Linked DNA regions of Macaca mulatta. The protein of the gene in region 3 purifies or fractionates together with the protein of the main gene of each other region. This does not show direct contact. Links are inferred from orthologs where the notes say so. Each region holds a gene or a part of one and is shown on either strand. Other genes may lie near its edges. The genes, in order: CNNM3, CNNM1 and protein tyrosine phosphatase type IVA 1.

Region 1 (3,655 bases), on a different chromosome or scaffold from region 3:
GGCCAAAACCTGCTCCCCATGCCTGGCCCTTAGTGAAGGCGCACCGCCACCACACGGTCAGAAATCTGGGCCTCATCCTCAGCTGCTGCTCCTTGTTGCACAGCCCCGCTGCCAGACACCAGTCTTCCTAATTCCATCTCTGCTGCCCTCTTGGGGCTCCTCTCCAGGCCTGCCATGCACCTTGTTCAGGTTATCACCCCCTCTCACCTGGAACCCTCACACCGCTGGTCTCCACAATCATTACTGATCTGTAAAAATAACTGACGCTGGCCGGGCGCGGTGGCTCACGCCTATAATCCCAGCACTTTGGGAGGCCGAGGCGGGCAGGTCATGAGGTCAGGAGATCGAGATCATCCTGGCGAAAATGGTGAAACCCCGTCTCTACTAAAACACAAAAAAATTAGCCGGGCGTGGTGGCGGGCACCTGTAGTCCCAGCTTCTCGGGAGACTGAGGCAGGAGAATGGCATGAACCCGGGAGGCGGCGGAGCTTGCAGTGAGCGGAGATTGCACCACTGCACTCCAGCCTGGGCGACAGAGCGAGACTCTGTCTCAAAAAAAAAAAAAAAAAAAAAAAACTGATGCTGCTACTTGATGCTCGTGGCCCTGGTGATCAAGTCCAAGATCCTTACACAGCACACAACCCTACCCCCACCCCCCGCGGGGGGACATCCTGCCTCTAGGCTCCTTCCCAATGAACATGAACATTTTCGATTTTTCCCCAAGTGGAAGCGCCAACCACCCTGGACCAAGCTCATCCATCGCATCTGAAAGACAAGACCACGGCAGCCAAGATCCTGACCCTAAGGGTTTGGAAAATGAAAGACCACTTTCACCAGCCTCATCCTGAGCATCACGACCAACTGCGGAAGTCGCCTTTAGTTCTGAACGGGGCAACCCTTCCATCTCCACTGCCCCAAATCTCTGCTTGGGGACTGCTCAAATGTTGAAAGCAGCAGCTGGCTGAAGCCAGACACCAGAGCGAGCGTTTTCTTAAAGAATCTAGAAACGTGAGTGCTTAGAACACCAAAGGGACAGCTACAGTCTTCCACGTTTTCCCTAAAAAGAAGGAAGTCTGGTGACCTGCCTGGAAGAAACGGAAATCTGCACTTTCAGGTTGACCCCTTGCTCCCGGACTGGCAAACGGCTCACCTACCAGCAGAGCCTGCTAACGCCAAGCACACAGCACGTGCATGCCAGGCACTGGCCAAAGTGCTTGATGAGTCTCCGCCGCAGGTGCACTTACCCACTCTGATCACTAGCAGCAGAGGAGCCTGCGCTACAAGAGGCTGAGCAGCCTTCCGGGGCTGGGAGCAGGCAAGGGCAGGATGGAACCTACTCCGTTGAGTCCAGGGTTGCACTGTTGGCCACCACACCAGGAGAACCACCCCTGCCTCGGGCTCCGGCAGCCCACATGGAGTACTTACCACCACGAGGCTCTGTCTGGACCCAAGCCCAGGCTCCCTCCCCAGGGCAGGGTGGCATGGCCATGTTCTAGGGACACAGCCAGGAGCACCCAACAGTCTAAGAGAATAGTTAGAGCTGCCCACCCAAGCCTCCCACCACCCCTTCCTGAGGTACAGTAATGACAGTAACTTAGCACCCAGGCCTCCTGCAAGGAATAAGGGACGAGATTACAGAGAGTGCCCATCAGCTCCTGGCACATAGCAGTGCTCAGTCAGGAGTAGCAGTCATTACCACAAAGCCTGGCTTCCTGCACCGACAGGCCAGGGGCTCTTGACAGACAGTGCCAGAGACGTCCTGCCACAAATACCAGGAGGCTTTGCCACTTCTTGGTCTCAGAGCAGACAGCCTTTAGGGTCAAGCCCATCCACCACCCTGGGGTGCCCCCACCCTCACCCTACAGGAGTGCAGGTGTGAGAAGCATGGCTGTTGGCCAAGGTGTGAGCACCAAACTCTGGGGAGCACCCCTAAGGATGATGCTGGGGAGGACTACAGAGGAAACCACACCTTCACATCTGGGGAGTATTGGTTTTACCTTCAATCTCCAAACTGCTTAGATAAAACAGAGTGAAAGGAGGGATGAAAATGTGGAGTGAAGGGAGAACTTGAAACCTTACAGATAGAAAAGTGTAGGTTAGGCTGGGTGCAGTGGCTCACGCCTGTAATCCCAACACTTTGGGAGGCTAAGGTGGGAGGATCACTTGAGGCCAGGAGTTTGAGACCAGACTGGGCAAAATAGTGACACCCTGTCTCTATATAAAATTTTTTAAATACAGGAGATTAAAAAGCAAAAACAAACAAAAAAAAAAGGCCAGGTACAGTGGCTCACGCCTGCAATCCCAGCACTTTGGGAGAGTGAGGCAAGTGGATTACCTGGTTAGGAGTTCAAGACCAGCCTGGCCAACGTGGTGAAACCCCGTCTCTACTAAAAATACAAAAATTAGCCAGGCATGGTGGCGTGCACCTGTAGTCCCAGCTACCCGGAAGGCTGAGGCAGGAGAATTGCTTGAACCTGGGAAGCGAAGGTTGCAGTGAACCGAGAACGCGCCACTGCACTCCAGCCTGGGCGACAGAGCCGAGAGAAAGGGAGACTAAGTCAGCATCCGTGGAGTTACTTTTGGGGGAAGCAAAGTGTAAGTTTCCCTGGCTTTACTGCAGATAAGAGATTGACACCTAAATACCCTTATCTGCAGTAAAGCCAGAGACCTTAAGAACGCTCTGAAGGAAACATCACACGTTCAGTCAATTTGATATTACATGTGTGCGGGCCACAACGTCCCAGATACCTGGAGACTACCCTCTTCTCTGTGTTCTTCTAGTTTCTAGCCAAACATTTGGACCTGCTACAAAGACAAGCACACAGAAACGCTCTGGGAAAGGGGAAGAGCTGGGGGATTAGAGCCAAGCGGACATACCCCTCCCTGCAAATAGGATATGTATAGGGGTGCCATCCTGACGCGGGGGTTAAAGTGTTCGCTGTCTAAAGGATTTCTCCCACTCTGATGGATGGCCTTTAAGTATTTCAAAAGGTGATTCCAACCTGCAAGGCCAATACCGTCTTGAAAAGGGACCTTAGAAGTCTCACCGCACGCCACGGGGGTGGGACCCTTTCCTGAAGGCTTTCATAACTCTCCATCCCTTTTCAGGGAGAGGGCACTGGCACAGGCGTCCCCTGCACCATGCCCGGGATGTTACCTCGCTTGAACTCCTCCAGGACAGCGTCCAGCTTGGTGTCGTTGAAGACGAAGTGGAGCGGATGGTTGTAGAAACGAGTGATGGTGCTGAGCGGCGTGCAGTCTTCAGGATCCACGAAGGCCAAGTCCTTGAGGTAGAGCATGTCCACGATGTTGGAGCGCTCCTCCTCGTACACGGGGATGCGCGTGTGGCCGCTCTGCATGATGCTGGCCAGGACGCCGAAGTCCAGCACGGTGCTGGCGTCCAGCATGAAGCAGTCTTCGAGGGGCGTGAGCACGTCCTCCACGGTCCGGCAGCGCAGCACGCCCTTGCTGAGATCGCTGTAGGGGTCGCCGCCGCCGCGCGCCAGCTCCAGCACCCGTTCCCGCAGCCGCCCGGGCCGCGCTGCCAGCTCCAGCAGCTGCCCCACGGGCAGCGCCACGGGCAGAGTGAGCAGGACGGCCAGGCGGCTGAGGCCGAGCGCGCGCGGCGCCAGCACCAGCGTCCAGCGACCGCTCA
Region 2 (3,466 bases), about 9.2 Mb from region 3:
GTGGGATTACAGGCACGAGCCACCGTGCCAGGCCAACTTTAAAAATCTTTGAGCACTTTTTCAGGTTGTTGCTCTGGACTTGAGTCTTATACTATGGATTGGAGTAGGTCTGGCAGGGGAACTACTGGCTTGGGTGCAGGCTTAGGGGGCTACTGAAAGCTTGGGGAAGTACATCTTAGAGAGGCAAACACAGAAGCTTCTCAGGACTGCTGGGACCCTGGGCGCTCAGAGCAACACCACTGTCAAGGCAGCAGTGTTCAGCGTCTCGGAGGTGATATGATCCGAGACCTCAGGAAAAGTCTATAGACTACACCTTTGGTCAAAGCCACAGCTAGTTAGAATGTTTCCTAATCAGTTTCCTAATCTGTGAGGTAGGCCTAATAATAGCTACGTAACATTTATAAAGCATGGTACTGAACACTGTGATATGCCTTTTATGTACATTATCTCATTTATGCTCAAAGCTACTTTATAAGATAGCTGTCATAATTTATACCTATTAACATAAGGATACTTATCTATTCAGACAAAAAAAACTGAGTCTTAGGTTTAATAACTTGCCTAAAATTGCATAACTCCTAAATGAAGGAGCCAGGGTCTGAATCCAGGCAGAAACCCAACTCCTAATACTGCCCTACACAGTTTTCCTGGGAGAATGAATCAGACAGGGCCTGATGCATGGTAGGTGCTCAGTAAATGTTTCCTTTCCCTGGCTGTGTAAGGAGGTTGGAGGTTTAACGCAGGGGCTGCGGTCCCAGGGCTCCCCTCAGCCAGCTTTCCCCGGGCCATCCCAGTACCCAAAGGCGATGATCCCCCTTGTTCTGCTAGGCCCAGTCGGCCTCCCTGACCTGCTGTCGTGGGAACGGCTACCGGAGACAGTGTGAGCTGCTGTGTGCTGTGCTCCTCGAAGTCAGTCATTTCTTCCTGGGTGAAGGCCAGCTCCTCCATCCTCAGGTACACTACCTCGCCGGGGCTTCTCAGCCCATCTGAGCGGCTGCCTGGGGAGGACAGCACGTGCATCACCTCTCTGATTTGGAGAAGACCCAGGGCTCAGGTGGTGTGAGCCCTGGGCAGGGCTAGAAGAGGAAGGCAGGGTCGTCCTCACCCCACACCAGCCCGGCCTGCCCGTCTGCCCAGCTGACTTACACGGCAGGCTGTTCCTGTTGTTCAGGAGCGTGATGGCGGGGTCATCCTTAGGGGTCTGGGGTGTGCCCCGGGTTGTGGGGGCCTTGGTGGAGTCCCCATCTGTGAAGGCCTCCATGTCAGGGGACTGAGGTGAGCTGTCCATGTGGCAGGCAGTGAGTGCGTTCTGATACTGCTGCCGTGTGATCTGGAAGGAAGAGGGCAGGAGCTTAGGAGCAGCTAGGCAGAGCCCTCCTGGATGCAGCCAGCCTTCCCAGGCTCGGGGGCAGCCTCGCTGGGGTGCTTGGAACCCTCGGCCTCTGAGGCCTGAGATCCACCAACGGGGGCCTTACCCACGCTGTAGCAGTCCAGCAGGGACAGTGAGGGGCCCTTTGCTGGTCTGCCACCAGCTCCCACTGTTCCTTTTTATTGGCACCTGGAAGAACCAAACCTTCTGAGACGCTGGAGAGGATGGAGGGCATCTTCAGAGAGCCGGGTGGTTGTCCATGGAGAAGTTTAAAACACACATTTATACTATTGCCAAAGGCCCAAAGGGTCAGTCGGGGGTGACTTGGTGAGAATAAGGTAGGACTCCAGCAGCGAAGCTCTCATGCCCCAGGTCTCAGTGTTGGGAAGCTGGAGGCTAGGGCCTGAGAGAACACAGGCATTTCTGATTTGGACTAAGCCCATCCCTGGATGTAGGGTCATGCTCCTATGTTGGCAGGGACCACAGCAGGGAGGTCTCCCAGCTGTCTCCTCAAATCACAGGAGTCAGACTTGTGATTTCCCTGCTGTGTCAAACGTCAGCCACAAGTGAAGGCATCTGGAGGGTCAGGCTGCAGCCAGACCAGACAGGAGTCTCCATGATTCCAGGCAGGAAAAATATAGATCAAATGTCTCTTCTAAAAGGCAGGAAGGTGTCTCGGTCACCCCTGTTCTCTGGGTATACAACACAGACAGGCACTGTGAATCCTTGCTAGCAGTGAAAACAGACTAGGTAGTGTGCCACCCTGTACAGGGATGTGAAACTGCTCATCAGTGGCTGGCACTGGGAGAAGAATGGAAATGGTATGTGGCATAATATCCTTCCCAATCATAGCATCTCCTAAAGCGTTTTCATCCCCCCTTCACTGCATTAGCGCTAGAGAACGAACAAATTCTGCTCATTTTGCCTTCTCTTTCCTTTGGGGCAGAATTGGTATCACATGTTGAAACAGGAAAGATTTCTGCTGGCAGTAGGAGGGGGATGGTTGAGGCTTACACACTGTGACAGAGAGTAGGCTTGAAGTTGGCTTTGTATCTGGTAAGGTCTCAACAGTGGCTCCTTGTCAACTACTCACAAGACCCATTATTTTACTGGACACGATCAATCCTTTCTTCAACAAACTTCAGGATATTTTGCAAGAGAACCAAGCAAATTCTAAGCACAACTAATCTAATCATAAAACACCAGTTAAGAATGCATGCCTTTTTGCAGAGCATATGGGACACACATATACAGAGATTCCAGGCTTCTAATCATACTTCTGCCCATTCAGGTGGGCAAATAGAGTTTTCTATTGATGGTTTAAATCAGTGATTCTCAAACCTCAGCATCAGAATTATCTGAAGGACTTGTTAAAACAAGATTGTTGGGTTTAACTCTGAGTTTCTCATTTGCTAGGTCTGGGGTGGAGACTGAGAATTTGCATTTTTAGCAAGTTCCTGTGTTCCTGGTGCTGCTAGTCTGGAGATCACACTTTGAGAACTGCTGACTTAAGACCTAGTTAAAATCAGATACAGGTACTACTCAGGTTTTGGTTTTTTTCTCTGAAGGATTTTAAAGGACAAAGCAGCAAAGTGTTAACAACTGGCTTTGATATTTTTTAGGTCAAAATGGTATGTTCTTTGCTCTATGGCGTGGAACCACAGGTCTCCACTTAGCATTTATCCAAAGTCTTCAATCGATTCAATGTGCTTGTTGAGAACACGTGACTTTTGCCACTCCCTCTGTTGGGAAGTGAGAAGTCAGGTTCCAAAATTTCCCCCAAAGATGAGGAAATTTGGCTCTAACACCAAAGGACGGGAAAATTCCCTAAATGACACTCGGTAAGCCCAGTAAAGCAGTTGATCTTACTCTATTTGGGTTCTTTAGTTATTTAGATTTGGCTTCTACTTTAGTCAAAGGACAAATGTCCCTTCACCTAAGAAATATGGCAGGAAACATACTGCCAAGAACTAAAGTTCAAGTCCCAATTTTGCCACTTTCAAGCTGGGAGGCCTTGGCCAAATATATATACATTTTTAATCAGCCAATGGGCAAATGAATACACTGGCCACATTGTTAACCTCTCTGATCTTATAA
Region 3 (2,687 bases):
GGAAACCAGTCTGATACCTGATTATTTTACACTATTTCTCTTAACTTATAATAGGAGCATGTATTGCAGCTATTTTGAATTTGAATAGCAATTTATTTGAGGAAATAATTCTTCAAACTAATTAAGAATGCTATGCTAGTTTATGCTAAAGGAAAAATATCCATATTCTCCTTCAAAAGTTTTCCATTTTTTGGAGACATTATTTTAGAGTACAGCATAGTCTCTCTTCCTTTAATGCTTCTGTATTCATTCAGGTAAATACTACCCTCAGTTTTCTTCCTTCTCATTTTTAGGTTTTTCCCTTCCTTGATGGTTACATGACTTTAGTACAAATATATGTCTCACAAATTAGAACAGTGACTTATTGGCTCACAAAATGCTGCACCTTGTGATACCATTTGATAAAATATCTTTTATTTTAGATTGTTTTTATAAAGAAACGAGAGAAAACTAGAGGAAGAGCAAAGATGCTGGTTCTTTTCACACGCTACCCAGGGAATGATGGTACTGTCCTTTAAAATATTGCCACGCATCAACAAATTCTGGAATAGGCCTGAAACCAATCATTGTATCTCTGCTTAAATTCCAAACTACAGTGGCTTAAGAAGAGCGCTTAAGTTCTCCTATTTATAAATATTTGACTAAGATCCTTTAATCAATTTACAAGGAAGTTGTAAAAGGTAAAACCACTTTATGAACAGCCTGAAAATAAAACATTATTTTCATGCATTATATAACTCGTCTCATCACAGTGTTAAATAGGTTCTGCATTTTTTTCTAAATTAGTAAATGTCACAGGTGCTCTGAAAGATAGGCAGGAAGAAGGAATTACCTGCATTCTTATAAAAAAAAAAATAAAATACAGGTCTGGTGCCCCTGCCGCCTCCTGCAACGCCGCCACCGCCGCTCCGCCATGACCACCGCTGCCTCCTGCCCTGCAGCCGCCACCACCGCCTGTGTTGACGCCGCCTCGGGACTGGTTGTATGATTAGGCCACAATCTTCAATGAGTAAACATATTGCTCAATGCTGTGGTGTTCTTGGTCACACATTTATGGAGTTTCTGAAGGGCAGTGGAGATTACTGCCAGGCACAGCACGACCTCTATGCAGACAAGTGAACTGTAGAAACTGATTAATACTCCATCAAGAAGCCCACATAAGACTGGTTATCCTGGACACAGAAGTGTTGAATTGAAATCCACAGAGCATTTTACAAGAGTTCTGACCTGGATGGGGTAAACCTCAGTGCACTTCTTTTCTGGTGGCCTCAGTATTACTGGATTAAAGAATTGCTGCTGCTTGTTAGGAGGTTCATTTCATTTATCATTACTTACAACTTCATACTCAAGCACTGAGAATTTCAGTGGAGTATATTGAAGTAGACTTCAGTTTCTTTGCATCATTTCTGTATTCCAATTTTTAAAAAATTATTTCATAACCCTATTGAGTGTTTTTTAACTAAATTAACATGGCTGGAATGAACCGCCCAGCTCCTGTGGAAGTCACATACAAGAACATAAGATTTCTTATTACACACAATCCAACCAATGTGACCTTAAACAAATTTATAGAGGAACTTAAGAAGTATGGAGTTACCACAATAGTAAGAGTATGTGAAGCAACTTATGACATCACTCTTGTGGAGAAAGAAGGTATCCATGTTCTTGATTGGCCTTTTGATGATGGTGCACCACCATCCAACCAGATTGTTGATGACTGGTTAAGCCTTGTAAAAATTAAGTTTCGTGAAGAACCTGGTTGTTGTATTGCTGTTCACTGTGTGGCAGGCCTTGAGAGAGCTCCAGGACTTGTTGCCCTAGCATTAATTGAAGGTGGAATGAAATATGAAGATGCAGTACAATTCATAAAACAAAAGCAGCATGGAGCTTTTAACAGCAAGCAACTTTTGTATTTGGAGAAGTATCGTCCTAAAATGCGGCTGTGTTTCAAAGATTCCAATGGTCATAGAAACAACTGTTGCATTCAATAAAATTGGGGTGCCTAGTGCTATTGGAAGTGGAACTTGAGATAGAGCCTAATTTGTTATACATATTAGCCAACATGTTGGCTTAGTGAGTAAGTCTAGTGTAGCTTCCATAGGAGTATTGAAAGGCAGTTTTACCAGGCCACAAGCTAGACAGATTTGGCAAACTCTGTATTTGGGTTACAGTCAACCTATTTGGATACTTGGCAAAAGATTCTCGCTGTCAGCATATAAAATGTGCTTGTCATTTGTATCAGTTGACCTTTCCCAAAATCATGCAGTATTGAGTTATGACTTGTTTCTATTCCCATGCCAGAATCTTATCAATACATAAGAAATTGAGGAAGATTAGGTGCCAAAATACCCAGCACAATACTTGTATATTTTTAGTACCATACAGAACTAAAATCCCAGGAACTATGAACACTCTAGACCTTATGTGGTTTATTCCTTCAATCATTTCAAACATTGAAAATAGGGCTTACATGGTTATTTGCTCACTTGATGTTTACATCTCCCACACTCATACCAGTATACATCAGGTTTGCCTAACCATTGATTTTTTTTTTTTACCAAGTCTTACAGTGATTATTTAGTGTGTTTCTATAAATCTCACTTTGTGCTATTATTTAAAAAAACTCCATTTTGAAAATCTACATTTTACAGAAGCACATGTCTTTAATGTCTTCAGACAAAAAAGCC

Evidence for each region.
Region 1: the proteins of protein tyrosine phosphatase type IVA 1 (region 3) and CNNM3 purify together in Homo sapiens (affinity purification with mass spectrometry; 6 studies listed by BioGRID and IntAct, with this or other methods). This does not show direct contact. The link is inferred for Macaca mulatta from reciprocal best matches to the Homo sapiens genes PTP4A1 and CNNM3.
Region 2: the proteins of protein tyrosine phosphatase type IVA 1 (region 3) and CNNM1 purify together in Homo sapiens (affinity purification with mass spectrometry; 4 studies listed by BioGRID and IntAct, with this or other methods). This does not show direct contact. The link is inferred for Macaca mulatta from reciprocal best matches to the Homo sapiens genes PTP4A1 and CNNM1.

What each region holds. Positions count from the first base shown.
Region 1 is NC_133418.1:5,482,160-5,485,814, reverse strand, and holds part of CNNM3 (metal transporter CNNM3), read right to left. Parts: coding exon 3,158-3,655; intron 1-3,157. UniProt on the Homo sapiens protein: Probable metal transporter.
Region 2 is NC_133414.1:111,448,670-111,452,135, reverse strand, and holds the end of CNNM1 (metal transporter CNNM1), read right to left. Parts: intron 1,363-3,466; exon of another isoform or gene 1,331-1,362; coding exon 1,147-1,330; exon of another isoform or gene 1,106-1,146; intron 1,028-1,105; exon of another isoform or gene 999-1,027; coding exon 661-998; 3' UTR 587-660; downstream 1-586. UniProt on the Homo sapiens protein: Probable metal transporter.
Region 3 is NC_133414.1:120,657,261-120,659,947, forward strand, and holds protein tyrosine phosphatase type IVA 1, read left to right. Parts: upstream 1-1,124; 5' UTR 1,125-1,469; coding exon 1,470-1,991; 3' UTR 1,992-2,032; downstream 2,033-2,687. UniProt on the Homo sapiens protein: Protein tyrosine phosphatase which stimulates progression from G1 into S phase during mitosis. May play a role in the development and maintenance of differentiating epithelial tissues.